Macaca mulatta: one gene and its partners. The protein of the gene in region 1 binds, or shares a complex with, the protein of each later gene. Links are inferred from orthologs where the notes say so. Each region holds a gene or a part of one and is shown in the gene's direction. Other genes may lie near its edges. The genes, in order: SNIP1, RBM48, SNRPF, DHX16, RNF113A, CRIPT and SF3B5.

The links.
Region 2: SNIP1 (region 1) and RBM48 share a complex: the UniProt entries of both Homo sapiens proteins name them as parts of the minor spliceosome. The link is inferred for Macaca mulatta from reciprocal best matches to the Homo sapiens genes SNIP1 and RBM48.
Region 3: SNIP1 (region 1) and SNRPF share a complex: the UniProt entries of both Homo sapiens proteins name them as parts of the minor spliceosome. The link is inferred for Macaca mulatta from reciprocal best matches to the Homo sapiens genes SNIP1 and SNRPF.
Region 4: SNIP1 (region 1) and DHX16 share a complex: the UniProt entries of both Homo sapiens proteins name them as parts of the minor spliceosome. The link is inferred for Macaca mulatta from reciprocal best matches to the Homo sapiens genes SNIP1 and DHX16.
Region 5: SNIP1 (region 1) and RNF113A share a complex: the UniProt entries of both Homo sapiens proteins name them as parts of the minor spliceosome. The link is inferred for Macaca mulatta from reciprocal best matches to the Homo sapiens genes SNIP1 and RNF113A.
Region 6: SNIP1 (region 1) and CRIPT share a complex: the UniProt entries of both Homo sapiens proteins name them as parts of the minor spliceosome. The link is inferred for Macaca mulatta from reciprocal best matches to the Homo sapiens genes SNIP1 and CRIPT.
Region 7: SNIP1 (region 1) and SF3B5 share a complex: the UniProt entries of both Homo sapiens proteins name them as parts of the minor spliceosome. The link is inferred for Macaca mulatta from reciprocal best matches to the Homo sapiens genes SNIP1 and SF3B5.

Annotation. Positions count from the first base shown.
Region 1 is NC_133406.1:203,257,827-203,261,963, forward strand, and holds part of SNIP1 (smad nuclear-interacting protein 1), read left to right. Parts: intron 1-129; coding exon 130-728; intron 729-2,882; coding exon 2,883-3,147; 3' UTR 3,148-4,137. UniProt on the Homo sapiens protein: Required for pre-mRNA splicing as component of the spliceosome. As a component of the minor spliceosome, involved in the splicing of U12-type introns in pre-mRNAs. Down-regulates NF-kappa-B signaling by competing with RELA for CREBBP/EP300 binding.
Region 2 is NC_133408.1:126,862,392-126,866,961, reverse strand, and holds the start of RBM48 (RNA-binding protein 48), read left to right. Parts: upstream 1-1,318; 5' UTR 1,319-1,348; coding exon 1,349-1,459; intron 1,460-2,012; coding exon 2,013-2,203; intron 2,204-4,570. Other genes in the region: peroxisomal ATPase PEX1, read right to left, coding at 841-969. UniProt on the Homo sapiens protein: As a component of the minor spliceosome, involved in the splicing of U12-type introns in pre-mRNAs.
Region 3 is NC_133416.1:103,187,198-103,191,358, forward strand, and holds the start of SNRPF (small nuclear ribonucleoprotein F), read left to right. Parts: upstream 1-1,361; 5' UTR 1,362-1,483; coding exon 1,484-1,486; intron 1,487-3,462; coding exon 3,463-3,588; intron 3,589-4,161. UniProt on the Homo sapiens protein: Plays a role in pre-mRNA splicing as a core component of the spliceosomal U1, U2, U4 and U5 small nuclear ribonucleoproteins (snRNPs), the building blocks of the spliceosome.
Region 4 is NC_133409.1:152,384,217-152,388,353, forward strand, and holds part of DHX16 (pre-mRNA-splicing factor ATP-dependent RNA helicase DHX16), read left to right. Parts: intron 1-323; coding exon 324-434; intron 435-603; coding exon 604-719; intron 720-3,180; coding exon 3,181-3,391; intron 3,392-3,588; coding exon 3,589-3,687; intron 3,688-3,798; coding exon 3,799-3,951; intron 3,952-4,137. UniProt on the Homo sapiens protein: Required for pre-mRNA splicing as a component of the spliceosome. Contributes to pre-mRNA splicing after spliceosome formation and prior to the first transesterification reaction.
Region 5 is NC_133426.1:126,364,498-126,368,254, reverse strand, and holds RNF113A (E3 ubiquitin-protein ligase RNF113A), read left to right. Parts: upstream 1-1,599; 5' UTR 1,600-1,814; coding exon 1,815-2,849; 3' UTR 2,850-2,956; downstream 2,957-3,757. UniProt on the Homo sapiens protein: Required for pre-mRNA splicing as component of the spliceosome. As a component of the minor spliceosome, involved in the splicing of U12-type introns in pre-mRNAs. E3 ubiquitin-protein ligase that catalyzes the transfer of ubiquitin onto target proteins.
Region 6 is NC_133418.1:78,210,740-78,213,974, reverse strand, and holds the end of CRIPT (cysteine-rich PDZ-binding protein), read left to right. Parts: intron 1-1,075; coding exon 1,076-1,179; intron 1,180-1,466; coding exon 1,467-1,531; 3' UTR 1,532-2,346; downstream 2,347-3,235. UniProt on the Homo sapiens protein: As a component of the minor spliceosome, involved in the splicing of U12-type introns in pre-mRNAs. Involved in the cytoskeletal anchoring of DLG4 in excitatory synapses.
Region 7 is NC_133409.1:49,347,913-49,351,236, reverse strand, and holds SF3B5 (splicing factor 3B subunit 5), read left to right. Parts: upstream 1-1,800; 5' UTR 1,801-1,901; coding exon 1,902-2,162; 3' UTR 2,163-2,493; downstream 2,494-3,324. UniProt on the Homo sapiens protein: Component of the 17S U2 SnRNP complex of the spliceosome, a large ribonucleoprotein complex that removes introns from transcribed pre-mRNAs.

The DNA of each region.
Region 1 (4,137 bases):
TGTTGTTCTAAATGCCAAACTCCAAATTACAAAAGACCTTTTGAATATACCTCATTCAAAAAGAACAAGATTTGGGCTGTCTTTAGATTGTGCACTGTGTTAAAATTACAGAATCTGTTTGAATTTCAGGAGCGTGAGGATCATCCCCGGAGAGGACGGGAGGATCGGCAGCACAGGGAACCATCAGAACAGGAACACAGGAGAGCTAGGAAAAGTGACCGGTACAGACACCGGGGCCATTCCCACCAAAGGAGAACGTCTAACGAGAGACCTGGGAGTGGGCAGGGTCAGGGACGGGAGCGAGACACTCAGAACCTGCAGGCTCAGGAAGAAGAGCGGGAGTTTTATAATGCCAGGCGACGGGAGCATCGCCAGAGGAATGACATTGGTGGTGGCGGTAGTGAGTCTCAGGAGTTGGTTCCTCGGCCTGGTGGCAACAACAAAGAAAAAGAGGTGCCTGCTAAAGAAAAACCAAGCTATGAACTTTCTGGGGCACTTCTTGAGGACACCAACACTTTCCGGGGTGTAGTCATTAAATATAGTGAGCCCCCAGAAGCACGTATTCCAAAAAAACGGTGGCGTCTCTACCCATTTAAAAATGATGAGGTGCTTCCAGTCATGTACATACATCGACAGAGTGCGTATCTACTGGGTCGACACCGCCGCATTGCAGACATTCCTATCGATCACCCATCTTGTTCAAAGCAGCATGCGGTCTTTCAATATCGGTAAGTAACATGGAGGAAGAAACTCTAATGTGAGCAGAAACAATTGCTCAGTTAGTTAGGATTACTAAGATTTTTGTTCATACATATACAGAAGAATCCCATACCCCTCATATCTAAAGAGTATTGTTAATCTAACTTCCCTTTAAATAATTGTTTACATATTTATAAGAACATTATACTTTTAATCTATTTTTTGTTTTTTTGTGACAAGGTCTCACTCGGTCACCCAGTCTAGAGTGCAGTGGAGCAAAGACAGCTCACTCCAGCAACCTCTTGGGCTCAAATGATTGTCTCCCACCTTGGCCTCCTGAGTAACTGGGACCATAGGCATGTGCCTCTGTGCTCTACTAATTTTGAAACTGGTTCTTGATAGCTTGCGTGGGACATCTGTGATGATTCTCACAACAATCCTGTGAGAAGGATAGGACCGGTTTTTGGTTTTTTGTTTTTGTGAGACGGAGTCTCCTTCTGTGCCCAGGCTGGAGTGCAGTGGCGTGATCTCAGCTCACTGCAACCTCTGCCTCCTGCGTTCAAGCGATTCGCCTGCCTCAGGCTACCGAGCAGCTAGGAATACAGGCGCACGCTGCCACACCCAGGGAATTTTTGTATTTTTAGTAGAGACAGGGTTTCATTGTATTGGTCAGTCTGGTGTCGAACTCCTGACCTCGTGATCCACCCGCCTCGGCCTTCCAAATTGCTGAGATTATAGGTGTGAGCCACTGCGCCTGGCCCATTTTTTGTTGTTGTTGTTGGTTGTTGTTTTGTTTTGTTTTAACATGGTCTCCTGACTTTGAATGGACAAGTATTTATATCCCCATTTGACAGATGAGAAAACTGAAGCCCAGCAAAACCAAGTGACTTGCCTAACAAATGATCACTATAGTACAGTGGTCCCCAGCCTTTTTGGCACCAAGGACCGGTTTCATGGAAGACAGTTTTTCCATGGAACCAGGGACATGGTTTCAGGATTCAAGTGCATTACATTTATTGTGCACTTTATTTTCTTTTTTTTTTTTTTTTTTTTTTTTTGAGACGGAGTCTCGCTCTGTCGCCCAGGCTGGAGTGCAGTGGCGCGATCTCGGCTCACTGCAAGCTCCGCCTCCCGGGTTCACGCCATTCTCCTGCCTCAGCCTCCCGAGTAGCTGGGACTACAGGCGCCCACAACCGCGCCCGGCTAATTTTTTGTATTTTTAGTAGAGACGGGGTTTCACCGTGGTCTCGATCTCCTGACCTTGTGATCCGCCCGCCTCGGCCTCCCAAAGTGCTGGGATTACAGGCGTGAGCCACCGCGCCCGGCCTATTTTCTAATATTATCTCATTGTAATATATAATGTAATAATTATACAACTCACCATAATCTAGAATCAGTGGAAGCCCTGAGCTTGTTTTCCTGCAACTCGATGGTCTCATCTGGGGGTGATGGGAGACAGCGACAGATCAGGCATTAGATTCTCCTAAGGAGCACGCAACCTAGATCCCACTTGTGCACAGTTCACAATAGGGTTCACGCTCCTATGAGACTAATGGCACCGCTGATCTGACAGGAGGCGGAGCTCAGGCAATAATAATACGAGTGATGGGGAGCAGCTGAAAATACAGATGAAGTTTGGCTTGCTTGCCTGTCTGCCCACTGCTCACCTCTTGCTGTGCGGCCTGGTTCCTAACAGGCCACGGACTAGTACCAGTCCATGGTCCAGGAGCTGGGGACTCCTGCCATAGTAGAACTCTGGCTCAAATATAGCTCCCTTGACTCTGAAGTCCAGGTCCACTGTTTTTTCCCATTTGGACAGGAACTGAAATATATTGAAATATAGGTTAAAGAAACATTGATTATAAACAACAGAAAAAAATGTATTTTCTTAACCACAGCAAGAGACTTTGGATTCTGCATTTCCACCTTTTGATCTTCCATGGATTCTCCCCACCCTCCAGTAACCCATTCTCACCTTTTCTACTAAATATATTTAAACTTCCAATTTCCCTTCCCAGGGCCATGCTTTCCCCTTGATTTCTTTGATTCCCTAGAATTTTAACTTGAATTATGCTCAAGTCAGGTTATTTACATCATCTAGGCTGTCTTAGCAAAGAGCTTCAGAGAGGATGGATGATCTGAGGCAGAAGTTTGCTCATAGGTTTCTCCTTTTTCTCTGCTAGGCTTGTGGAATATACCCGTGCTGATGGCACGGTTGGCCGAAGAGTGAAGCCCTACATCATTGACCTTGGCTCAGGCAATGGAACCTTCTTAAACAACAAACGTATTGAGCCACAGAGATACTATGAACTAAAAGAAAAGGATGTACTCAAATTTGGATTCAGTAGCAGAGAATATGTCTTGCTCCATGAGTCGTCGGACACTTCGGAAATAGACAGGAAAGATGATGAGGATGAGGAGGAGGAGGAGGAAGTATCTGACAGCTAACAAACTAAGAACCCAAACTATTGAGACACGTTTTCCTTGTTGGAAGGCTTTGATTGACTCAGAGAGCACTATGGTGGTGGGTCCAACACTATCATGCTCTCTGTAATGCCTCTTACTGCCTTAAGTCTTTCCCCTGTTGCTGACCAGATTGTGTTACCATTTGAATACACTGACTAATGTTTGTTAAACTTTTTCTGTGGCACCTTGGCCACATGCCTGCAGGCATTTGTTTTCGGAACAGTCTCACCAATTACAACACACCGTGTTTTAGTAGAAGCGTTGTGGTTTTAGTTGGTGCTTTCAGAACTGCTGCCTAGGAAACTATAAACCCTTGGTTAAGGGTAAATCATGGCTTGTTCTCTTTGTACAGTTAACTTTATTTATATAGGTATTAAGCTTTGTGGACCAGGTGTTTTTCTTTTGGGGTGAACCCCTGAGCAGAGAATCTTACTAGGCTTTGGTTATCACCAAAACAACCTCCAGTATATACCAAAGCTTTGACCTGGTTGAGCTCTTGAGCTTAGAAGTTGATTTTGCACTTAGTCTTTTGGGGGTGGGAATGTACTGCAGTCAGTAAACGTTATTGACTGTTTAACTTAAACAGATGCTTTATGGCACCTGCTCAAGCCCGTGACTGTACAGAAGGATCCTGGTTGCTACCAGTGGGTGCTGATTCAGCATCACAAGTGACTGAAATTGGCCGTGGATCTGTTCTTTCTGAAAGAATTCCTGATTTCTCCATGGAGCATGTACACAACAGTTTGGATCATATTAACTGTACTTCAGTTTTGCATTTTTATTCAAATGTTATCTCCTTTTTTTTTCTTTGAGAAATAAACTGTCACTGATGTGGCAGGTTCTTTATTCTAATAACGTGTATATGTCTAAAGCAGGTTGTGTTGTTTACATTGTTTCTACACATTTCATCCTTTAAAAATTGTTCAGAGAGGCTGTATTTACCATCCCAAGGTTGGAAAGCAGGGGAATTTC
Region 2 (4,570 bases), on another chromosome or scaffold:
AAAATCTTCCCCTAGGTATGGAGAAGTAACTCAAGTGGAAAGAAGGGATGCTTGAAATTATTGCAAACTCTTTATTCATTACATAGATTAGCCACTGGTGGGTACCATGCATCCAGGATTTATGAAGATTTCAAATACGCCGTCCTTTTGCCCCCATAACCACACTCAAACTCGTGAGACCATGTGCCTCTATTTTTAATTACGAAAATAAGGACGCTGTATCTCCACCGGTGGTTAGAACTGCGAAACATCCCAACCACAACGTCCAGAAGGGCGACTGATCGCAGAGCTTCAAGTGATCTTAACTACGTTATGTGTTCCTGACACACTACAGCTGTGTTCCGAGGGTCTGGGACGCAGGGCAGAACCATTACTGTATTAAGCTTTCCCGCTCATGGGACGCGGTGCTCAGTCCCCGGGGACCGACAGGGGCTCCACCAACAACTCTGCGCCTCCCTCTCGCGGCCCGGACGGCAGCAGCGCAGGTAACTGGAAATGACTGGCAAGAAAAGCACCTTTTAAAATAACAAAAACAAACCACTTATCAGGAACTTTTCCAGCCTGGAATGAGGAATATTTATAAAAACAGTGGTAGAATATTAGGACATTTCTAGGCCCAGTTTCACCAAGTGAAAAGACCTGGGATAAGACGAGCCCAGGGCTGCACTGGACTTGCGGGATGCAGAGACTAACCAGAAGGGCCCTGCCGTCGAGGGACCCTAATCTCTGTACGCTTCGGGGGCGCCCGGGTGGCAGCCGGTGTCCCGCCGCGTCCCTGAGAGGCTTCGGCCTTGTCCGACCCCAGGCTGAAGATCAGGTGGCCCGGGGCCAGCACGTTACCTGCAGCAGGTGCAGCTGGGCCACGAGACCCCGCGGCAGGTGGAGGAAGCAGTCGCGAGCGTTGGTGAAGGCCACAGTCACTGCCGCCCCGCCTCCCCCAGCACCCGCCAGGCGATCGCTGCCCCACATCGTCCCGAAGCGTCGCTCTGGGTTTGCCCACCCTAGCGCCGCAAAGGACACGGGACCTGGCAGGCCGAGGACGTCGGAACCGGAGGAGATCGATCGGCCCCGCCCCCTGAGGCCCCGCCCCCTCTCCCCGCTGCGCGTCTCGCCGTAAGCCTGTAGTGGGGTGGGACAAGAAAGCTTCTGTCACCCACCGCGCCTCTCCGCCAAGCCGCTCGGGGGCGGCACCTCGTTCATCAAATCCTCGCACGCAGGAAACGATGGCCGACGCTGTCGATTCTTCAGCCAATCCTGACACTCCTTAACTCATCCCGCTCTCTTATTGGATAAAAGGGAGGTCAGCAGGGCGGATGTTGTCCTCCCTGCGAGGATCAAAGTAGGCAAGATGGCGTCCAGCGGTGGGGAGTTAGGGAGTTTATTTGACCACCACGTCCAGAGGGCGGTGTGCGACACGCGGGCCAAATATCGGGAGGGACGACGGCCTCGTGCTGTCAAGGTAAAGTGATTTTTGGTTTCATTCGCTCTCCTCGGTAGCTTTTTGTGAGCGCTAGCGCCATATGGCTAACCTACGGAAATAAAGGCACGACAAGGCTTCCGTCAGATCTGTCGCTCATTAGAGCTGGCGTGAAGAACCCTGGGCCAGGTACCAAAGATTCTCACGACCCTTTTGGTCAACTATTAGAACATCAACTCCACGAGAATAGGGCTTGGTTTTAGTCATTGGATCTTCAGTGTTTACAGTACTACTTGGCACAGGTAAGCGCTCAGTGAATATTCGTTGAGTGATTGTTCCCAGTGACTTCTGCCGACTCAATTTCTGGAAAAAAATGTCGACTGAAGGTAGTCTGTTATATGCCTTAGGTAGCCTCTCACATGGACTGTTACTCTTTATGCAGAGGGAATGGCAGAAATTTTATTTTGTGTTTTTTGCTGACTGGGTTGAACAGATTATTTCTTGTTTTCAAAGTTCTGTTTAAAAAAAAAAATAGAGGCAGATTCGTCCTAGGCTTATTTGCGAAATACGTTTAATAACTATGCATTTCTTTCAGGTATATACAATCAATTTGGAATCTCAGTACTTATTAATACAAGGAGTTCCTGCTGTGGGAGTCATGAAGGAATTAGTTGAGCGATTCGCTTTATATGGTGCAATTGAACAGTACAATGCGCTAGATGAATACCCAGCAGAAGACTTTACTGAAGTTTATCTTATTAAATTTATGAACTTACAAAGTGCAAGGTAAGGTGCAAGTTAAGCAATGACTCGTTTCATTTCCTCCATTCATATTTCTGTCATTTTGGCCCCAAGTTTCCCTCATTCATATCTGAATTACCCCAAAATGTAATCTAGCATATCTTCCTACAGCCTTTTTACAGGTTAACTTTACTGAAACACTGTATCCATCACATCCCATGCTTAACAATTTAATGTCCTGTAGCGTGGTAGAGTAAAAGTTGGGTTTGGCCAGGCACGGTGGCTTACGCCTGCAATCACAGCACTCTGGGAGGCCGAGGCAGGCGGATCACGAGGTGAGGAGTTTGAGACCAGCCTGGCCAACATGGTGAAACCCCGTCTCTACTAAAAATACAAAATTAGCCGGGTCTAGTGGCGCATACCTGTAATCCCAGCTACTCAGGAGGCTGAGGCAGGAGAATTGCTTGAACCCAGGAGGCAGAGGTTGCAGTGAGCCGAGATTGCGCCATTGCACTCCAGCCAGGGCAACAAGAGGGGATCTCCGCCTCAAAGAAAAAAAAAATGGGTTTGAGGGCTGGGCGCCAATAACTCACGCCTCACGCCTGTAATCAGAGTACTTTGGGAGACCGAGGCAGGCAGATCACTTGAGGTCAGGGGTTCAAGACCAGCCTGGCCAACATGATGGAAACCCCGGCTCTACTAAAAATACAAAAATTAGCTGGGTGTGGTGGTGCAGACCCGTAGTCCCAGCTACTCAGGTGGCTGAGGCATGGGAATCGCTTGAACCCGGGAGGTGGAGATTGCAGTGAGCAGAAATCACACCACTGCACTCCAGCCTGGATGACAGAGCGAGGCTCTGTCTCAAAAAAAAAAAAAAAAAACAGAAAAAATTTGGGTTTGGCGCCAGGCATGTGGCTCACACCTGTAATCCCAGCAGTTTGGGAGGTGGAGGTAGGCGGATCACCTGAGGTCAGGAGTTCAAGACCAGTCTGGCCAACATGGTGAAACCCTGACTCTACTAAATACAAAAATTAGCTGTGTTGGTGCAAGCCTTTAATCCCAGCTCCTGGGGAGGCTGAGGCACAAGGATCACTTGAACCCAGAAAGTAGAGGTTGCAGTGAGCCAAGATCATGCCATTGCACTCCAGCCTGGAAAGAGTGAGACTGTCCCAGAAAAAAAGAAAAGAAAAGAAAAAAAAGTTGAATTTGATCCCAGCACTATGGAAGGCCAAGGTGGGCAGACAGCTTGAGCCCAGGAGTTCGAGACCCGACTGGCCAACATGGCAAAACCTCACCTCTGCTAAAAATACAAAAATCAAGGTGGGCGTGGTAGTGCATTCCTGTAGTCCCAGCTACTTGGGAGGCTGAGGTGGGAGAATCAGTTGAGCCCAGGAGGTGGAGGTTGCAGTGAGTCATTTATGGACCACTGCACTCCATCTTGGGTGATGGAGTGAGACTATGTCTCAAAAGAAAAAAAAATGTTGGGTTTGGAGTAAGTTTTCCATTTCCACTGCTTACTAGCTTTGTGATCTTGGACAAGTTATTTAACCTGTTTAAGTTTTTCCTGTTCCGTAAAATCTATATGGTAAAGGGACCTATCTACTTCTTGAGGTTGTATGAGGATGAAATGAGATAATCCATATAAAGGGTTTAGCAGAGTGCCTCCTGGTCAGAATACAGTAAGCATTAGCTATTGTGGTTTCTACTGTTACTCCTTTCTGCAAATTGACTCAGTGTTTTCCGGCCTTCTATGTGACATAAACCCTCTGCTCCAAAAAGGCTGAAGTATGCAATGCCTTATCTATTTTTATGTTGATCTCTGTTCTCCTCACTAATCTGCTCTGAGACCCATCCTTCTCTGGCTGTTACAATTCATATTTTCTTTCATGTGCTATCAGTAGAAATCATAATCTACCACAAAAGCACTTGATTTTACTGGGTCATGTGTGGTTTTCTCAGGCTGCTGTTATATGTAATCTCACTTTCTTAACCAATCTGCCAGCTGTCATGGTTAGAGAAATATTTTCTCGAGCTTTTCTGTTTTCCAAAGTACCTAGTCTAGTAGGCTCTGAAGTAAGACATCTGGATTTGAATCCTTGCTCCTCAAACCAGAGTATGAGCATGGCTAAGTTATGTAATGTCCCAGTGCTTCTGTTTCATTACAGGGTTGTTGTTAGGTGTTAATTCAAGTGAAGCACTTACAACATTGCCTGGCATATGGTAAAATCTGAGCAAGTATTTGTCATTATCCCTGGATACAGAAGTAGTTAAATTTATTGTAGTACCTGGCCAATCATAGATGTTTAGTAAGTATTTATTGACTGAATAACATTCTTCTCATTTTCTCATTGTTATATGTTTAATAGTTCCTCAGTTATTGAACGTTTTATGATTATAGTATTTTTCATCTGA
Region 3 (4,161 bases), on another chromosome or scaffold:
GGCAAGAACTCGGACAGCTACCCTCAACTGGTAACAGTTACCTGCTGGGCCTGCTTCCTCATCTCTAAAACGGGGCTGTCACCCCGAATCAGACGGTAAGGTAAGATTTCCACAATTGTTGAAAGAGCCTGACACATAGTAGGAACTCAAAGTCTGTACAAAGACTTAAAGTTCATGAAACAATATACAAACTAAGGAAGAAATCCACTTAAGTTTAGGGTGAATAAATCTAATAACTGTTTGGTAAAAACTACACTGACAATGACTGTCTTGTCAGTGTTCAACACTTATGTGAAACACTGAGCTTTTACAAGGCCAAGCCCCGTTTTAGGTTAAATTCTCGCAACCACGCTGAGGATGGTTCCGTTTTTAAAGCCGCGTTCCTGCCGTGGAAACAGTGGCCCTGAGGGTTAAGACACTGCCCAACACCGGCTGCGCCTGATAGACGCAGGTTCCGAATGCAGGCCCTCTCCAAAGTCTTGCCCACTGCTCCACAGTGCCTCAACAACCAACATTTCATCCTCAACCTCAAATCCATCTCTTCAGGGCCGCAAAAAAGCGTTACTTCCCAAAGGGCGTGTTCTCCAAGAACTGCATTTAGCATTTCAGATCAGAGTGAGCCGAACTCACTAGGATTACGACAAAAACCAGTGAGATTCAGATAACACCGTTACGTCGAAAGTTTTAATCCGTGACAGCGGAAATATTGCTTACGCCCTTAGGTAATTTCAAATGCACGTAAGAAGGCCGTGCCAGTCTCTGCTGGCGATGCAAAAGAAAGATGGGGCCGGCGGGGTCGTGGGGGGTGGGGGGACATGACACCGTATCCCAGACACAACCTGACCTCGTTTAAAATAAATTCTGTATCCGACTCCCTTCGGTGCGTTTCACCGCCCCTAGTCTTGTCTGGCTACCCCCGAATTCCTTTAAAAGGGGTTGAAATGGGTGTTGCAGAAGAGAGAATACTCAGGTAGAAACGGCCTGCGGCAGAGGCGCCCCCAAATCATGGAACCTGTTGGAAGAGTGAGGAAGGAACTCTGGGATCCTGAACATTCTCACGGGTGTAAAAAGACAAAGTAAAATCCCCATTAACCAAGTTGGGGAGAAGTCACATCCGTCACACAGCCTCTCCCAGACCGCACATTTACAACACCGGCCTGCCTCCAGTCCTTGGCTGCCTCACCTTGCTCCTCAGAGCGGGTTTCCCAAGACCCGCGCGCAGCCGGCCAGGCGCAAACTCAAGCCGCTGCTGGTTGCCAGGAGATACTGGTCCAACCATCTCCTCCAATCAGCGCGCATCTCTTTTCGTCCAATCACAGAGGCAGGAAGGGCCGTGGTGGGAGGTGAAAGGTCACACTCCTGTTTGGCGGCCATTTTTCTTGAAATTCAGCGGCTCGGGACCTGGGGTACCTGCTGTAGTCACGAGGGACAAGCGGCAGCCTGGTCGGCAGTGAGTAGCCTGCAATATTCGGCCGTGGTTACGATGGTAAGGAGAACGAGAACGGCGGGAGAAGCGGGGAGAAAGAGAAGGAGGGAGACCACCTCGCGGGGCCTAGTGGTTGCTTCGCGCGTTTCCCATTCATCCGCGTGAGGCGCCGCGCACCCGGTCGCCAGCTTCTTTCACTCTGCTTTTAGGATTTCTGAGGCGCGTGCTCCTCCCGATGCCTTTCTTTTTCTAGGAGTGCCCGTGCCTTCTCCTCTTTGTTTGAATCCGGGCTTGGGATATTCTTATTTGTGGCTACAGGGTCGGGGTAAAACTCAAAGAGAATTTGCACTTCCCACTTAACCACACTCCAAAATTCACTTTCATTGCATGAAAGTAATGATACGGCCATGCTCTAGTTTAACTCGGTTGGGGAAGACAGACAGTCAAAAAATAACAAATATGCAATTGCAAGTAATAAGTGCTAAGAAGAATGCAGACAGGAGGCTGTGAGGGTGCGCGTTAGACATTTAGAGGCTTAGTCAGAGATGGCCTCCCTAGGAGGTGGAATTTAACCTGAAGCCTAAGTGTCATGAAATAGACCCTTTAAAGAGCAGGAGGAGGAGTGTACCGAGCACAGAGAATAGGCGCATAAGACCTGCGGCCGGAAAGAAAGCTTGGTCAGTTGGAGAAATTGACAAAAAGGTACAGCCACTTGCAGGAAGAGTGGTTACGAGATGGTGTCGGAGGAGCAGGCGTTGGACAGGACCTCTTAGGCTGTATTGGGAGGTTTTGATTGTACTCCAAATCAATTGAAAATGATTGAGTTGGAAGCCATTGAATCATTTTAAGCAGAAATATGACAATTTGATGTGCACTTTAAAAAATCATGTTGCTGTGGTGGATAATAAATTGGAGAATGAAAACTGGAGACCCATTAGGTTATTGGAGTAATCGCCGCATCAAGTCACTCCGAATATGTTTATGTTAGAGGGGGTTAGTAGCCAAGTTTCTTAGTTCTGTTCTTTCTTTGACTGGTGAGTGAGCAGAAAAAGGCAAAAACCGAATTCACTGGAGATGTTAATGGTTTGCTGAGCAAACTTTAAGTGATTGCTATAAGAGGCAGTGCTAGTGACAAAGTCATTTAGGACCTAGCCCTAGCTTCCACAGTTAAAGACTGTCAAGCGTCATCTGCCCTCTGCTTCCTTCTGTAGTCTTATATTTGGGACTTTGACTGACAATGCTGAATTGTATGTCCCCAAAATCACCTTGTTGCTTCACTCTTCCCTCCTTTTACATAAGTAGCTAGCCTTGCCTGGAACAGGATTTTTTCCCGCTCTGGAAATAAATTCTCATTCTTTAAAACTGAGGTTAACTTATTTCAGGCAACCTTTCCTTTTTTCCCTGGATTGCTTCGGTACCCTTGTGCCTAGTATATCTCCTCTTATTATGTTGCAATATGCAGTATAATTATTTGTATGTGAGGAGCCCCCCTCCCCATCTCCAACTTCTTGACAGGGACTCTGTTATTTATTTATGACAAGGTCTTGCTCTGTTCCCTAGTAGCCGGGACTACAGGTGTGCACCACCACATCTGACTATTTTTGGTAGAGAAGGTGGTCTCACTATGTTGCCTGGGCTGGTCTTGAAATTCTGGCCTCAAGTGATCCCCCTGCCTTGGCCTTCCAGAATGCTGGAATTACAGATATGAGCCACCCTTTCTGGCCCGCATTTTTTTTTTTTTTAAGTGCCTTTATCTTTGTTTCTTTAGAGCTCAGAACAGTAAGTGATGTATGTAGTCGGTGTTATCTTAAGTGAATAGTGAGTATTTTGTTTTGATGGGTTAAAGGTGATACTGGCTAACTGGATATTTAAATTTCCCTGGTACTCTCCAATAAATGAAAGTGAAAATTGTGTACTAAAATAATGAGTCAAGAGTTTTCTTCATTTGCATACCACAAAATATTGGTATTTAGTAGAAGAGAGTTGGTGGTGGGAGGAAAAATAATTAATTGGATCCTTTTTTGTTCTTTGTGCAGAGTTTACCCCTCAATCCCAAACCTTTCCTCAATGGACTAACAGGAAAGCCAGTGATGGTGAAACTTAAGTGGGGAATGGAGTACAAGGGCTATCTGGTATCTGTAGATGGCTACATGAACATGCAGGTAAGCTAAAGAGCTGTAAAGGTCATAACATTGCATTTAGTTTGCTTCACCTTATTGCTCAAAGGTTTAGTCTGACTAATAAGAATACATACAATTAAATTGACAAATGTACGGCAAAATTAAAAAATAAAGTCAAAGCCAGGGAGGATACTATGATATACTAGGTACAAGACATGGACTTAAACCAGAATTCAGCCACAGATTTTATTCCTAGTAGTTAAAGTAAGAAGAGCTCAGACATTTAATTCATAATAATACTGTAAGGGAAACACACTACTTTGCTGGAGAAAACAAAACATTTCTCATCATTTAGCCCTGAAAGAAAGTTTTCAAGTGAAATTCATGAGTCTTTTAATGAATGATGCTAAAGGCACAACACCAAAGTTATTGAGGAAATTCATTCCTTCAGGGGAAAGACACATCTGCCGAAGAAATTGAACTGACTGTATGTCTGTCAAATGAGTTTCTGTAAATGATTCAGCCATGTGTTTTGGTGGGGTTTTTTTTGTAATTAATTTTCTTTTTATTGTGGTAAAATATACATTACAATTTTGCCACTCTAACCATTTTTAA
Region 4 (4,137 bases), on another chromosome or scaffold:
AAGTACTAGGATTATAGGCATGAGCCACTGTGCCCAGCCTTCCTGCTTTTTACCTTAGCTGACTCTGCCTCAGCTAATCTGTTCTTTTCCAGCTCAAGTCTAGCAGAGCCATGAACTTAATTACCCAGAGCTAGGTGAGGACCCCCTTTGAGGGCCCTAGGTCTGTCATCCTATCTATTTGCCCTTCTTTTCTGGTATTCAGCATCTGTCTTTTCCTCCTTTTCTCCTGTCTGGCTTTTACAACTTCTTTCTCTGAATTGTACCTGGTCTCAGGGGGCATATTTAGCAAAGGGTAAACCTCTTCTTTCTTCCTTGTCATTCAGGGTTATACAAAGAAGGGTATGAAGATTGCCTGCACCCAACCCCGGAGAGTGGCCGCCATGAGTGTAGCCGCCCGAGTGGCCCGGGAGATGGGTGTGAAGCTTGGGAATGAGGTGAGATTTCTAGGGAACTGGGGGGTAGAGACTGGGGTCTGTGACTCAGTCTACACTGCCCTCAGGTCCCTACGGCAGAAGTCTTGGTGCTGCCCCACTTCACCTTTCCCCAGGTTCCTTTCAGGGCACACCATCCAACACTTGGTTGCTAATGATTTCCCTTGACCAGGTTGGCTACAGCATCCGCTTTGAGGACTGCACGTCAGAGCGAACTGTCCTCCGCTACATGACAGATGGGATGCTTCTCCGGGAGTTCCTCTCTGAGCCTGACCTTGCGAGTTACAGGTACATACAGGGCCCTCATCTCCCATGAGAGAGCTGCCCACATTCTCTTCCCCCTGTGCTGCCGCCTCCCTCCCACTCAGTTCTCTCCTGGATCTCTAATCTCTGGCTTTTCTCTCATTTCTTGCCACCCAGCCAATTCAGCCATTGTCTTCTGATTAATCCACCAGTTCTTATATCGTTATGGTTCAAACGGTCCTTGAACTGACCTCCAGGTACCACTGAGATGGGGCTGGAGGATAGAAGAGATTGTAGAGAAAGCCTCTTCTTCTTTCCCCATTCATCTCCAGGGTTAGGAAACAACCAGGATAGCATAGCATTGCTGCGGAGGCTTGAAATGCCATGTGGAGACCATTTGAAAACACCTGGAATGCTCAGCTCAGAGGGAGAAGCAGGAGAGGCATCCTGGTTCCCTCTAAATATGTGAAGGCTGTGACATGGAAAGAAGGATGAGACTTGGTTTATGTAACCCTACAGGATATAGCTAGGAGCCATGGGGAGGTTACAGGGAGACAGATTCCAACTCAATACCGACGGCTGAGTAACCCTCAGAGTGTTGGAGATTGCAGGGCCTGTCACAGTGGTTGGACTCTGGATCTTGGCCCTCCACACAAGTCTTGGGTAGCTTGGTCTGTGAATAATGAGCTCTTAGTGCTGGAAATGGCCAAGCAGAGGTTGGTTGAACATGTGTTGAGGGGGAAAAGGGATTCATGAATGTGCTGGGGTTGGGGTCAGGCCAGCTGAACAATATGTGCCCTTTTGACTCTTCAGAGGCTGTGAATTTCTGGCCCTGGAAGATCACAGTGGAGTGATTGGACAGATAGGATTTTATCCTTCATATCCCTTGCAAAAAATCTCTGAGAACCCATGGGGAGCCAGCCAGTGCAAGAGGGCCTGATGCAGATATTTTTGCCCATCGAGCCAGCCTGCTTTGTGGAATGACTGGGGGCTTCACCATCACAGTTAGGGTTAGGGACAAAGAGTTGAGGTCAGAGAGGTGGGTAGGGGAAGATGAGGATGAGTTCCTGGGACTTGGCTGCCACCCAGAAAAGCCAAAAAATAAAGCAAAGAGAAAGAAGGTGTCATGCACATAACTGAGTTAGGAGGAAACCAGGGAGCATGCAGAGTCCTCTGAGAGTTGGGGTAGAAAGGCTTAACTTGCTCCTCTCTGCAAAAGAAGAATCCTTCTTGGCAGGTCTCGCTGTGTCACCCAGACTGGAGTGCAGTGGTATAATCTCGGCTCACTGCAAGCTCCACCTCCCAGGTTCATGCCATTCTTCTGCCTCAGCCTCCCAAGCAGCTGGAACTACAGGCGCCCGCCACCACGCCCGGCTAATTTTTTTTTTTTTAAGTAGAGACGGGGTTTCACCGTGTTGGCCAGGATGGTCTCAATATCCTGACCTCGTGATCCACCCTTCTCGGCCTCCCGAAGTGCTGGGATTACAGGCGTGAACCACCGCACCTGGCCTCTTTTTTACATAGAGTGTCGCTCTGTCACCCAGGCTGGAGTGCAGTGGCTCAATCTTGGCTCACTGCAACCTCTGCCTCCCGGGTTCAAGCGATTCTCCTGCCTCAGCCTCCTGAGTAGCTGGGACTATAGGTGTGCGCCACCACACCTGGCTAATTTTTTTTTGTATTTTTAGAAGAGACAGGGTTTCGCCATATTGGCCAGGCTGATCTCAAACTCCTGACCTCGTGATCTGCCTGCCTTGGCCTCCCAAAGTGCTGGGATTACAGGTGTGAGCCACCGTGCCCAGCCTAAAGCATATCCTTCAACTTTTTCTTTTTTTTTTTTTTTCTTTTTCTTTTTTTTCTTTTTCTTTTTTTTTTTTTTTTTTTTGAGACGGAGTCTCGCTCTGTCGCCCAGGCTGGAGTGCAGTGGCCGGATCTCAGCTCACTGCAAGCTCCGCTTCCCGGGTTTACGCCATTCTCCTGCCTCAGCCTCCCGAGTAGCTGGGACTACAGGTGCCCGCCACCTCGCCCAGCTAGTTTTTTGTATTTTTAGTAGAGACGGGGTTTCACCGTATTAGCCAGGATGGTCTCGATCTCCTGACCTCGTGATCCACCCGTCTCAGCCTCCCAAAGTGCTGGGATTACAGGCTTGAGCCACCGCGCCCAGCCTCGTTCAACTTTTTCTAGTAAGAGCAGCTACTGAGTCTAAGCAGACTCTTGACTGAACTAGAGAGTATGTCTGACTTGTCCTGGCCTCAGTGCAGCCTCTACATCTTGGCTTCTATTGTCTGCTGAGGCTGGGATAGGTTGCAGATCATGGGTCCCTGGCCGTCTCTGACTTTCTGTTGGTCTTACATAACTGGGATGGCTGAGTTCTCCTTAGAGCCCCCTCCGTCAACAGTCATTCTTGAGCTCTTTGTGTCCATCACTCCCCTCTCGTCCAGGGAACCCTGGTGTCTGATACTGCATTGCCCAGCGCTCCTCCCTCATTGCTGCCCTATTCCCTCCCCAGTGTGGTGATGGTGGATGAGGCTCACGAACGGACCCTACACACAGACATTCTCTTTGGATTGATCAAGGATGTTGCTCGCTTCCGACCTGAGCTCAAGGTCCTGGTGGCTTCAGCCACACTGGACACTGCCCGTTTCTCCACCTTCTTTGATGACGCCCCTGTGTTTCGAATCCCCGGACGCAGGTTTCCTGTGGACATCTTCTACACCAAGGTGCTACCTCAGGGAGGATGGGCTTAAGTCTGTGGCAGAAAAGCTGAGGCCTTTGGAGAAAGTTATCCCAAGGAGGGAAAGATGGAGTGGAAGGTCCAAAGGGGAACTAGGATAAAGTATATGTTGAACTGGGAGGAGAGGAAAGGTTTGCCTAAGCAGGTGGCCCTCCTGTGACCCCATCTCTTTCTGCTCTCCAGGCTCCAGAGGCTGACTACTTGGAAGCTTGTGTTGTATCTGTGTTGCAGATCCACGTGACCCAGCCCCCTGGGGATATCCTGGTGTTCCTGACAGGACAGGTGCCTGACATGGTTGGGAGAGGGGAGGGTGTATCTCAGGGGAAGACGGGGCCGGCATGTTGGCCTTCTGTGACTCTGGGATCCCTGCTGCTCTCCCCGCCCTCTATCCAGGAGGAGATTGAGGCTGCCTGTGAGATGCTCCAGGATCGCTGCCGCCGCCTGGGCTCCAAAATCCGGGAGCTCCTGGTGCTGCCCATTTATGCCAACCTGCCCTCTGACATGCAGGCCCGCATCTTCCAGCCCACGCCACCTGGGGCACGAAAGGTCGGTTGGAGAAACCCACACTCTTCACCCCTGTGCTTCCCACAACTAGTAGTGAAAAAGCTGTGTGCCTGCCCCATGCAAGGTGAGCCCTGGGCACTGCTGCACACAGCTGAGGAGCAGTCAGTCCTTTGTCCCTGGGACTGAAGGGAGGAGAAATATGGTGTGAACCAAGAGAGAGCCAAATAT
Region 5 (3,757 bases), on another chromosome or scaffold:
TGGCAGAAGGCTGGCATCAGAGTGGCTTCTTACCTTTGACACATAGTGACGATTAACTCCAGAGATGCGCCTATCTCTTTCCATCAGATTCCAGTGATACCCAAAATGAGCAATCCTTTTTTCCTTCAAATAAGAGACAATTATTGTTGCAGTTTATAAAAGTGAGTGACCCAGTTGATGGATATTACAATTTTTAGAAGGGACATTCTAGAGAAATGGAATCATCATTCAAATAAAAATGCAAATTAGTAGTACAAGAACAGAATCTCCTAAATAAAATCAGACCACTACACTTTAGGATTAAGTTGGTGACCGTGACTTCTTACACTATTTTAACCAACATGAATTTCTTTTCCTTTTTAAAAAAAAGAAAAAAAAAAGAAATATCTAGTTGTTGCCTTTTGGGACACTAAGAAACAACAGCTGTAGATCACACGTGGACAATCACAAATTCAAAAAGTAAATAAATTTATACTCTGTACTCTAGAGATGATGTGAAGGGCTAAGAGGGGAAAATGAATCCTGATGTAAAACACAAGACCTTGCAGTAAATTCCTAAACGCTTGCAAGAGAAAGTGGGGAATAAAAAAGTCAAGGGTGGCCGGGAGCGGCGGCTCACGCCTGTAATCCCAGCACTTTGGGAGGTCAAGGCGGGTGGATCACCTGAGGTCAGAAGTTCGGGACCAGCCTCGCCAACATGATGAAACCCCGTCTCTACCAAAATAAATAAATAAATAGCCGGGCGTGGTCCCGGCTACTCAGGAGGGTGAGGCAGGAAAATCTTTTTTTTTTTTTTTTTTTTTTTTTGAGACGGAGTTTCGCCCTTGTTGCCCAGGCTGGAGTGCAGTGTCGCGATCTCGGCTCACTGCAACCTCCGCCTCCTGGGTTCAAGCGATTCTCCTGCCTCAGCCTCCCGAGTAGCTGGGATCACAGGCATGCGCCACCACGCTCCACTAATTTTGTATTTTTAGTAGAGATGGGGTTTCCCCATGTTGGTCAGGCTGGTATCGAACTCCCGACCTCAGGTGATCCGCCCGCCTCGGTCTCCCAAAGTGCTGGGATTACAGGCGTGAGCCACCGCGCCCAGCCAGGAGAATCTCTTGAACCCGGAAGGCGGAGGTTGCAGTGAGGGATTCTCAGGCTTGAGCCACCTCTTCTAATCTACCTTTCCGGCCCCCGCGTCGCTACTCTGCCCTAAGGCCCACTTTGATACACCCAGAAACGCTGTTTTTCACCAGAGCAGGATGTGGTTTCTACCGCGCTTCGTTTCGCAAGCCTCGGCTTCTAGGCAACCGGAAGAAAATAGAGGGCCGGCCTCGGAGAGAGGGTCCGCAGGCTGACGGACTCTCTGCCCACCATCCTTTTCAGAAATCAGCCAGTGGAGTCAGCCCCCGGGCCCAGGAAGCCGCCTTACCTTGCCCCCGTTAGTGAACCTCTGGATGTACGCAGTAGCCAGTCCTGGAATAAACAAGCACACGCCCATGGCGGCGAGTCCGGGGAGAATCTCGAACCACATCTCTGCCCCGTTATCTAGGCCAAAACCCTACTTCTGGGTCCTTGAAAGGTGACCGGGCTTCGGCTCCCTTCCCAGTAAGCCCCGCGGCCGCCCGCGAGCGGGGCGGTGCCACGTACGGCTCCGGAGGAAGCGACGGGATCTGCCAGGGCTCAAGAGAGGCTGGCGCTCGCGCTCTCGCAGTTCTCTTCCGTCAGTGTCTTTTGCTTCGACTCCCGGCGGAGCGCGCGACGTGGAGTAACGCGCAGAGGCCAAGTGCAACCCAGGCAGCGACGGCCGTTTCGGAGCTCGGGACTCTAAAATGGCAGAGCAGTTTTCTCCAGGGAAGACGGCGGATCAGGTGTGCACCTTCCTTTTCAAAAAGCCTGGGCGGAAAGGGGCTGCTGGACGCAGAAAGCGCCCGGCCTGCGACCCAGAGCCCGGAGACAGCGGCAGCAGTAGCGACGAAGGCTGCACTGTGGTTCGACCGGAAAAGAAGCGGGCGACTCACAATCCAATGATACAGAAGACTCGTGACAGTGGTAAACAGAAGGCAGCTTACGGCGACTTGAGCAGCGAGGAGGAGGAGGAAAATGAGCCCGAGAGTCTCGGCGTGGTTTATAAATCCACCCGCTCGGCGAAACCCGTGGGACCAGAGGATATGGGGGCGACAGCTGTCTATGAGCTGGACACAGAGAAAGAGCGCGATGCACAAGCCATCTTTGAGCGCAGCCAGAAGATCCAGGAGGAGCTGAGGGGCAAGGAGGATGACAAGATCTATCGGGGAATCAACAATTATCAGAAATACATGAAGCCCAAGGATACGTCTATGGGCAATGCCTCTTCCGGGATGGTGAGGAAGGGCCCCATCCGAGCGCCCGAGCATCTACGTGCCACGGTGCGCTGGGATTACCAGCCCGACATCTGTAAGGACTACAAAGAGACTGGCTTCTGCGGCTTCGGAGACAGCTGCAAATTCCTCCATGACCGTTCAGATTACAAGCATGGGTGGCAGATCGAACGTGAGCTTGATGAGGGTCGCTATGGTGTCTATGAGGATGAAAACTATGAAGTGGGAAGCGATGATGAGGAAATACCATTCAAGTGTTTCATCTGTCGCCAGAGCTTCCAAAACCCAGTTGTCACCAAGTGCAGGCATTATTTCTGCGAGAGCTGTGCACTGCAGCATTTCCGCACCACCCCGCGCTGCTATGTCTGTGACCAGCAGACCAATGGCGTCTTCAATCCAGCGAAAGAATTGATTGCTAAACTAGAGAAGCATCGAGCTACAGGAGAGGGTGGTGGTGCTTCCGACTTGCCAGAAGACCCCGATGAGGATCCAATTCCCGTTACTTAGCTGTCTGATAATTCTTAAATTTAAAAAATAAATATTTTGTTCTTTTGGAAGTCTTAATTCGTGTCCTTCCTTTGTAGAGACAGTGACAGAGAAGGCGGGTGGTGAAGTAGGGTCCTGGATTAAAAACCTCAAGGTAGGTATAATCAGGATTTTTAGCCCTAGGATAACCATTTTGCCTGTGTTTCTTTTCAGAACATTTTGGCATCAATTATAGGGGTGGGAGTAGTTTGAGAAAAGAGCTATAATTTGCTTGAAGTAGCCAAAGCTATGACGAAAGTAAGAACTCTGAGCCTGTTTATCATATCACATTTCTGTATCACTTAATGGTTTACAAAGTACTTTCATGCATTCTTTCTCTTGGGAGCCTGTACTACAAAATATACCGGAGCCAAGGTGTTGGGGAGAGGGGTTGCGTTTGGGGAATTGGTAGCTAGTACCACAGGCTTCACATATGGGAAATGTTCCTTGCTGTCTGGGTTATTTATTTATTTATTTATTTATTTATTTATTTTTGAGACGGAGTCTCGCTCTGTTGTCCAGGCTGGAGTGCAATGGCGCTATCTCAGCTCACTGCAACCTCCGCCTCCCGGGTTCAAGCGATTCCCCTGCCTCAGCCTCCCGCGTAGCTGAGACTACAGGCGCTTGCCACCACGCCCAGCTAATTTTTTGTATTTTTAGTAGAGACGGGGTTTCACCATATTAGCCAGGATGGTCTCCATCGCCTGAACTCGTGATCCGCCCACCTCGGCATCCGCCCACCTAGGCCTCCCAAAGTGCTGGGATCACAGGCGTGAGCCACCGTACCCGGCTCCCTTGCTGTCTTGGAAGCAGCTATAGTTAACCCCCTCTTCCATGGATGATAAAAGTATCTGTGCTTAGCTATCCAAGTGTGATAGACACTAGCCTCA
Region 6 (3,235 bases), on another chromosome or scaffold:
AATCCCAGCTACTTGGGAGGCCGAGACAGGAGAATCGCTTGCACCTGGGAGGCAGAGGTTGCGGTGAGCCAAGATCACGCCATTGCCCTGTAGCCTGGGCGATAGAGTGAGATTCCATCTCCAAAAAAAAAAAAAAAAAAAAAAAAAGTGATATTCTCTATGGTTTGGAAAAATCTTTGTAAATGGGCTGTTATGCTATACCCAAGAGGAGACACTAGGTCTAGGACAGTGTTTCGTATCTGGTATATGAGGATCATTACAAAAACTCATTTTGTAGTTAGGGAAGCACAGTTAAAGCAGAGTATTATTGCCATTTTAGGGGGAAGTATTTCTTTTTTTCACTCCAGTTACTGTAAGATGGCATTTTTATATAGTAGAAGCCCTTTTATCTAAAAGGATTGAGTCAGTTAATTAAAAATGTCAGCTAATGTAAGCAGTCATTAAAAGATACACATACCTTATTTTAACTTAAAGCACATAACTGTAGATGTATTAATCATATGGTATTGAAACAAAGCCTTTTGAGCATAAATCAACTGATAAGTGCTCTACATGATTGTCGTCACAAAAATCACAATCAGAATATGTTCAGTATCTTTAAAGTGGAGCAAAAATTGATGCTTGAGGTATGGAGTCCTTTCCTAGTGATTTTCCCCCAGTTGTCAACAGTTGTCTTACCCATACCTAATTCAATAGCAATTCCGATTATTCCTGGTCGTCCTAAAGTAGTCACTTAGGTTTTATGGAATCAGTCACTCTTTTTGCACCGACATTTCATCAGTTTCCATAATATTTTTGTCACACAAATAGAATGACAGATACAATTGATACGAACACGTCAAGAATAAATTCTGTACAACTGACTATAAGTATATATCTCACATGGACGGAGCAGAGCAGAGATGTACAGGCATATCAGACAGTAGCCATCTGGAATAGGCTAAACCCATCAATTGTAGAGGTTGATGGAGGGATGAAGAGCATGGATTAATCCTGTGTGTTGCGTAAGTGGGGTTATTTAAGAGTGTGTTTCTAGTGTAATATACAATTTTCTCTCATTAAAAAAAATTTCTAGATTTGATCCATATGGAAAGAATAAGTTCTCCACTTGCAGAATTTGTAAAAGTTCTGTGCACCAACCAGGTTCTCATTACTGCCAGGGCTGTGCCTACAAAAAAGGTAAGTTTCTTTTAATACCTTTTTTCTATTCATAAAACCTACTTCATTTGCTGCTAATTTGGTTAACAGAAACGATGTAGCCTGTCATAAATTCTGTTAACCAAACACTCTTTATCCTAAGGCAAAATGGGACGTAAAACCTGTTTATAATTAAAAGTATATATATATATATATATTTTTTTTTTTCTCTTCTGATGCTGTTAAATTATATTTTAAGCTTCAGGATTGACTTAAACCAAACAGTTGGTATTATGATTTGATTGATCACGTATCTTCTTTTGTTTCAGGCATCTGTGCGATGTGTGGAAAAAAGGTTTTGGATACCAAAAACTACAAGCAAACATCTGTCTAGATGTATTGATGGAATTTCTGACTTTCTAAATGATTTTACTTTCTGCCTTGAATTTTCAAGGCATAGATGTCAACTTACAGAATAACGTGTTTTAAGACAATTACGTTTAAACCAGAGAATTTGATTGTTATTCATTTTGCTCTCATGCTCTAAACAGCAACAGTGTAACTAGTCTTTTGCCGTAAATGGTTTTTTCCTTATGAGCATTTTATTGAACTAAGTGGCAAATTCCATGAAAAATTTCTCAGTTCTGTATGCACTTTAAACATTATTCATGTAATTCTCCCCCACACACACTTTATTTATAGATACTGCAAAAGTGAGAAGGAGGTAATAGATATTTTGCTCTGAATTTGGCATCCAGAGTTAACAGTTCTCCCCTAACTCCCTTACTCGTGTCATAGTTATTAGGATCAGCAGCCTCTTAACTAATTGCAGTTTCATAGGATGTATAAATGTTTCAAGCCATTATTGCTGAATGGTTCTTTAGTTATTAACCTAGACCCAAATCAAAGACCAGTTTTTATTTGTTCTTGCCGCCAAAGTGCCAGTTCCTTTAATATGTGACCAGGAACACAAGGAATATCCATATATCCAAATAAACACACTGAATTTTAGAAAAACTTATTACTTTGAATTCAAATTGTCATGAAAACCAGAACAGTGTTTGTCCATGTTGCATGTAATGAACATAAATCCCTGCTCTTTGAGAAAAGCTCTTTGAAGCAAAAACCAAACTTTTTGTTTTTTTACCTCCTGTCTCCCTCCCTAAAAGAAATAAATAAAGCAAACATCTTGACTCTCCCTTTTTAAAATTTGTTTGTTTGTTTGTTTGTTTGATACAGGATCTCACTCTGTTGACCAGGCTGGAGTGCAGAGGTATCATCAAGCTCTCTGCAGCCTCCATCTGCTGGGCTCAAGCAATCCTTCCACCTTACCCTCCTAAGTAGCTGGGGGCTACAGGTGTGTGCCAGTGAGCTCAGCTAGTTTTTATTTTTAGTAGAGACGAGGACTCGCTATGTTGCCCAAGCTGTTCTCAAACTCCTGATCTCAAGCAATCCTCTGGCCTCAGCCTTCCAAAGTGCTGGGTTACAGGTGTGAGTCACAGCACTTGGCCTCTCTCTCTCTCTCTTTTTTTTTTTTTTATACTACAGGTTTCAAATGAGTACTTTTCTTATGTTGCCTTCAGAGGTTCAGGACTTCTGCTTTTAAAATCTGCAGGCTACCATGGGAGACCAAAAAAGCATTCCCCATTTCCAACTGCAGTATGTATAAATACGTATCACTATAAAATGTGTAGAATAGATAGTGTGATAAGATTTATGAATGGCATTTTTATTGGTCATAAAATTTTGATGAAAAGCATTTAAAGTTTTAACTTTATAAGGCTTTTCAAAATGTGTTTTTTTGAGATACCTTGTTATTCATATCCACAAAGATTATAAGGATAATGCAAAATATAATAATTCATCTGAGAGCAGGAAGTATCCTCTCATGCTTAATCAGTTTGATTAATTGATTATAATTTTAATTTTAATTAAAATTATAACACAGGGAACTCATAACAGGACCTGGTCAGAGAGTGTCCCAGAGCCATTAAAGATTGGATTTGTTGACTTGGAGAAAAGTACGTTTCTCAGGGATCGACTGGAATCTGGACTTGCCTAACTCACATTTCATTTATTTTTTAAATAATTTCCGTTT
Region 7 (3,324 bases), on another chromosome or scaffold:
CCAGTACTTCAGTTGGAAGTGCAGAAATCACCCGTCTTCTGTGTCACTCACACTGGGAGCTGTAGCCTGGAGCTGTTCCTATTCGGCCATCTTGGAACCTGACCCAACAAAGTTTAAACAGCAGAATAAAATAATTTTCAAGTTATCTCTCTCCTAGTAAAGTTTTCCTTCCCTTCCGTTGTAATAGAGTTATTTAACCATTTATCAAATTTTTGTTTTGGATTTTTTTTTTCAAGTAGCTTCTACCCATGTAAGGAAGTTATTAAACCAAACAGTAGGATATAAAGCGATAACAAGGAAGAGATGTATAACCTACAAAGAGGAAGGAGAGTTTACATCTGTCTGGAGCAGCCAGAGAAAACTCTAAGGAGATGCATTTGAGCTGCCTTTTTGGGAGATGTATTCACCAAGGGAACAGACATTCCACGTAGAGGGAACAGCTTGTACAAGAAAATGGGGACGGGCACAACAGGTAACACGGAGAAGTACAGTTGTCCCTCAGTATCCGTGAGTGATTTGTTCCAGGACTCCCATGGATACCAAAACTAGAGGATGCTCAAGTCCCTGATATAAAATGGCTTGTATTTGCACATATGCACATTCTCCTGTATAGTTTGTCTCCAGATTATTTAACAATACCTAATACAATGTAAATGCTATGTAAATAGTTGTTATACTGTATTGTTTAGGGAATAATAACCTTAAAAAGTCTACACTTCAGTACAGACTGACTTTTTCCCCAAATATTTTCAATCGGGTCGGTTGAATCCACAAAACCCACTGAATGGAAGGGCCAAGTAGGGTGCAGTGAGGCCTTGGAGGAAGGATATCAAAATAAGTGGCTAGAGGGGAAGGAGGAGCTTGAGGTGGAAGCCGGAATGTGTGGGAATTGGTGCTGTACTTGCTCACCAAGCACCCTGGTTAGAGCTGAAATAACTCTTTTATGCCACAGACTCCTAAAAGACATAGCTGGGACCAGAACTTGTGCCTGCCGACTTCTGGGTAATCCATCCCTGGTTGTGAAGGGATGGCTGTGCTACCATGATAGCTTTGGAAAACACGGAGAGTTTATTTTCGGGGCTGCTTGTAGTCCAGTCCTACTTGGGTTTCCCATTTCCCATCAGCCCCAAGCCACCCACGGATGCTCCCCACCTCCCAGACATCACCCTCCACTAGGTCCCCAGATCACTTTTAAAACGCGACCAGGGGCCTGGCGCAGTGGCTCACGCCTGTAATCCCAGAATTTTGGAAGACCGAGGAGGGAGGATCACGAAATCAGGAGTTCGAGATCAGCCAGGCAAAGACAGTGAAACCCCATCTCTACTAAAAATACAAAAAAAAAAAAAAAAAAAAAAATTGGCCTGGCGTGGTGGTGTGCGCCTGTAATCCCAGCTACTGGAGAGGCTGAGGCAGGAGAATCGCGTGAACCCAGGAGGCGTTAAGTTGCAGTGAATCGAGATCGCGCCATTACACTGCAGTCCCGGCAACAGTGCGAGTCTCTGTCTCAAACAACAAAACGAGACCAGGAGTTCCAGAAGACTACGAGCACGAACTCCCAAGACCACAAGTCCCAGCATGCAAGGCTCCCTGTTGGAAAAGGGCTTCCCATAGCCACCAAGTGGACCATCATGCAACGCTCTCTGACGGGGCGGGGCTCTCTACAGGGGCGACACACTTGTGGCGTCGCCTCGGCAACTCCAATTCCGTGACAGAATGTGCTTCCGCTTCCGCCTTTGAGCCCTATGAGCGAGACTTACGCTACTTAGTCGTCGTGACGCCATTCTTCTGCGACGGCGCGGGCCTGGAGCTTCCGCACGGTGGCCTCACTCCCGCGTGAAACGCCAGAGCGGCGGTTTGTTGTCTGCGTCCTCTGTCCTGGGAACTAAGGGGAAAGCGGCGAGATGACGGACCGCTACACCATCCACAGCCAGCTGGAGCACCTGCAGTCCAAGTACATCGGCACGGGCCACGCCGACACCACCAAGTGGGAGTGGCTGGTGAACCAACACCGCGACTCGTACTGCTCCTACATGGGCCACTTCGACCTTCTCAACTACTTCGCCATTGCAGAGAATGAGAGCAAAGCGCGAGTCCGCTTCAATTTGATGGAGAAGATGCTTCAGCCTTGTGGACCGCCAGCCGACAAGCCCGAGGAGAACTGAGACTCTGCCTTACCACCACTGTGCGGGGCACCTCTCCCAGTGTTCCTCAGGTTGGCCAATCCCTTCGACTATTTCTGCCTCCAAAGGACCGGCTCTCCATGGCTCCTGCGTCTGGTACTTCCGCGTACAGAAGTGCTTGCCCGGGGAATCCCGCCTGACCTGCCTTCATGTGAACCCTTTGGAATAGCACTGGGAGACCAGCAGAACTCCTGAGAACTGTGCTGGTGAAGAGGGCCTAGAGCCGGCAAGCGTTTGAGAAGAGGGCGTGGCGCTGGAATGAGATGGGATTTGGCGTCTCATTTTTGGCTAATTGATTGTCATTGGCTTTTTCCATAAAGTTTAGAAATCATTAAGTCTCTTGGTGTGAACTTCCTGTGTTAGGGTGGAGGGCTCCTGAAAGACCCGAGCGGGAAATGGGTCGGGGGAGGGAGTGCATGCCAGTGTCCATGATCAGGTACTTAAATCCACCCTGTCTACCATTATAATTAATTCCCCGACTGCCACTTCTCCCAAGAGCGTTATTTTCAGGCCCACAATGCCTTCAGTATTGAAGTTTGTAGTTATTGTATCCCATTTTCTTTTTCTCCCGTTTTAAAAGTCTTTGCAGTCTTTGCTGTCATTGTCCTCCTTAGCCTCTTTAAAATGCATCCTTTCTTTTTCTTGGGAATTTGTGGCCATGTCTCCAGAAATGACAAGCTGGCAAGTGAGTTCATCCTTTCTATATTCAACAAATATTTGTTGAGCTCTATGTGACAGGCATTTTCCCATGTTCTTGAGGCTTACATTATGCTGGTGGTGGAGAAAGGAGGTCAAACACTGTAGACGTAATAAGTAAATGTTAGAAGATGCTGCGGGGAGGGGAGAACAATGTACGTGGTGTGGGTGGGAGTAGTTGGTAGGGCCATAATCTTAAATATGATACACAAGTTACTGAGATGGTGACATTTGAGCAAAGACTTTAGGGAAATGAGGGAAATAGCCATGCGGAAAACTGGAGAAATTGCTTTCCATGAAGAGGGAACTGCCAGTGCAATGGTACTAACACTGGGAGTATGTATGGTTTATTGGAGGACCTGCAAAGAGGCAAGCATGGCTGGAGGGGGTGAGCCAGGGGAAAAGTAGAGGGACAGGTAATGGAGGGGGAAACGAGTAGAGCCTTGTA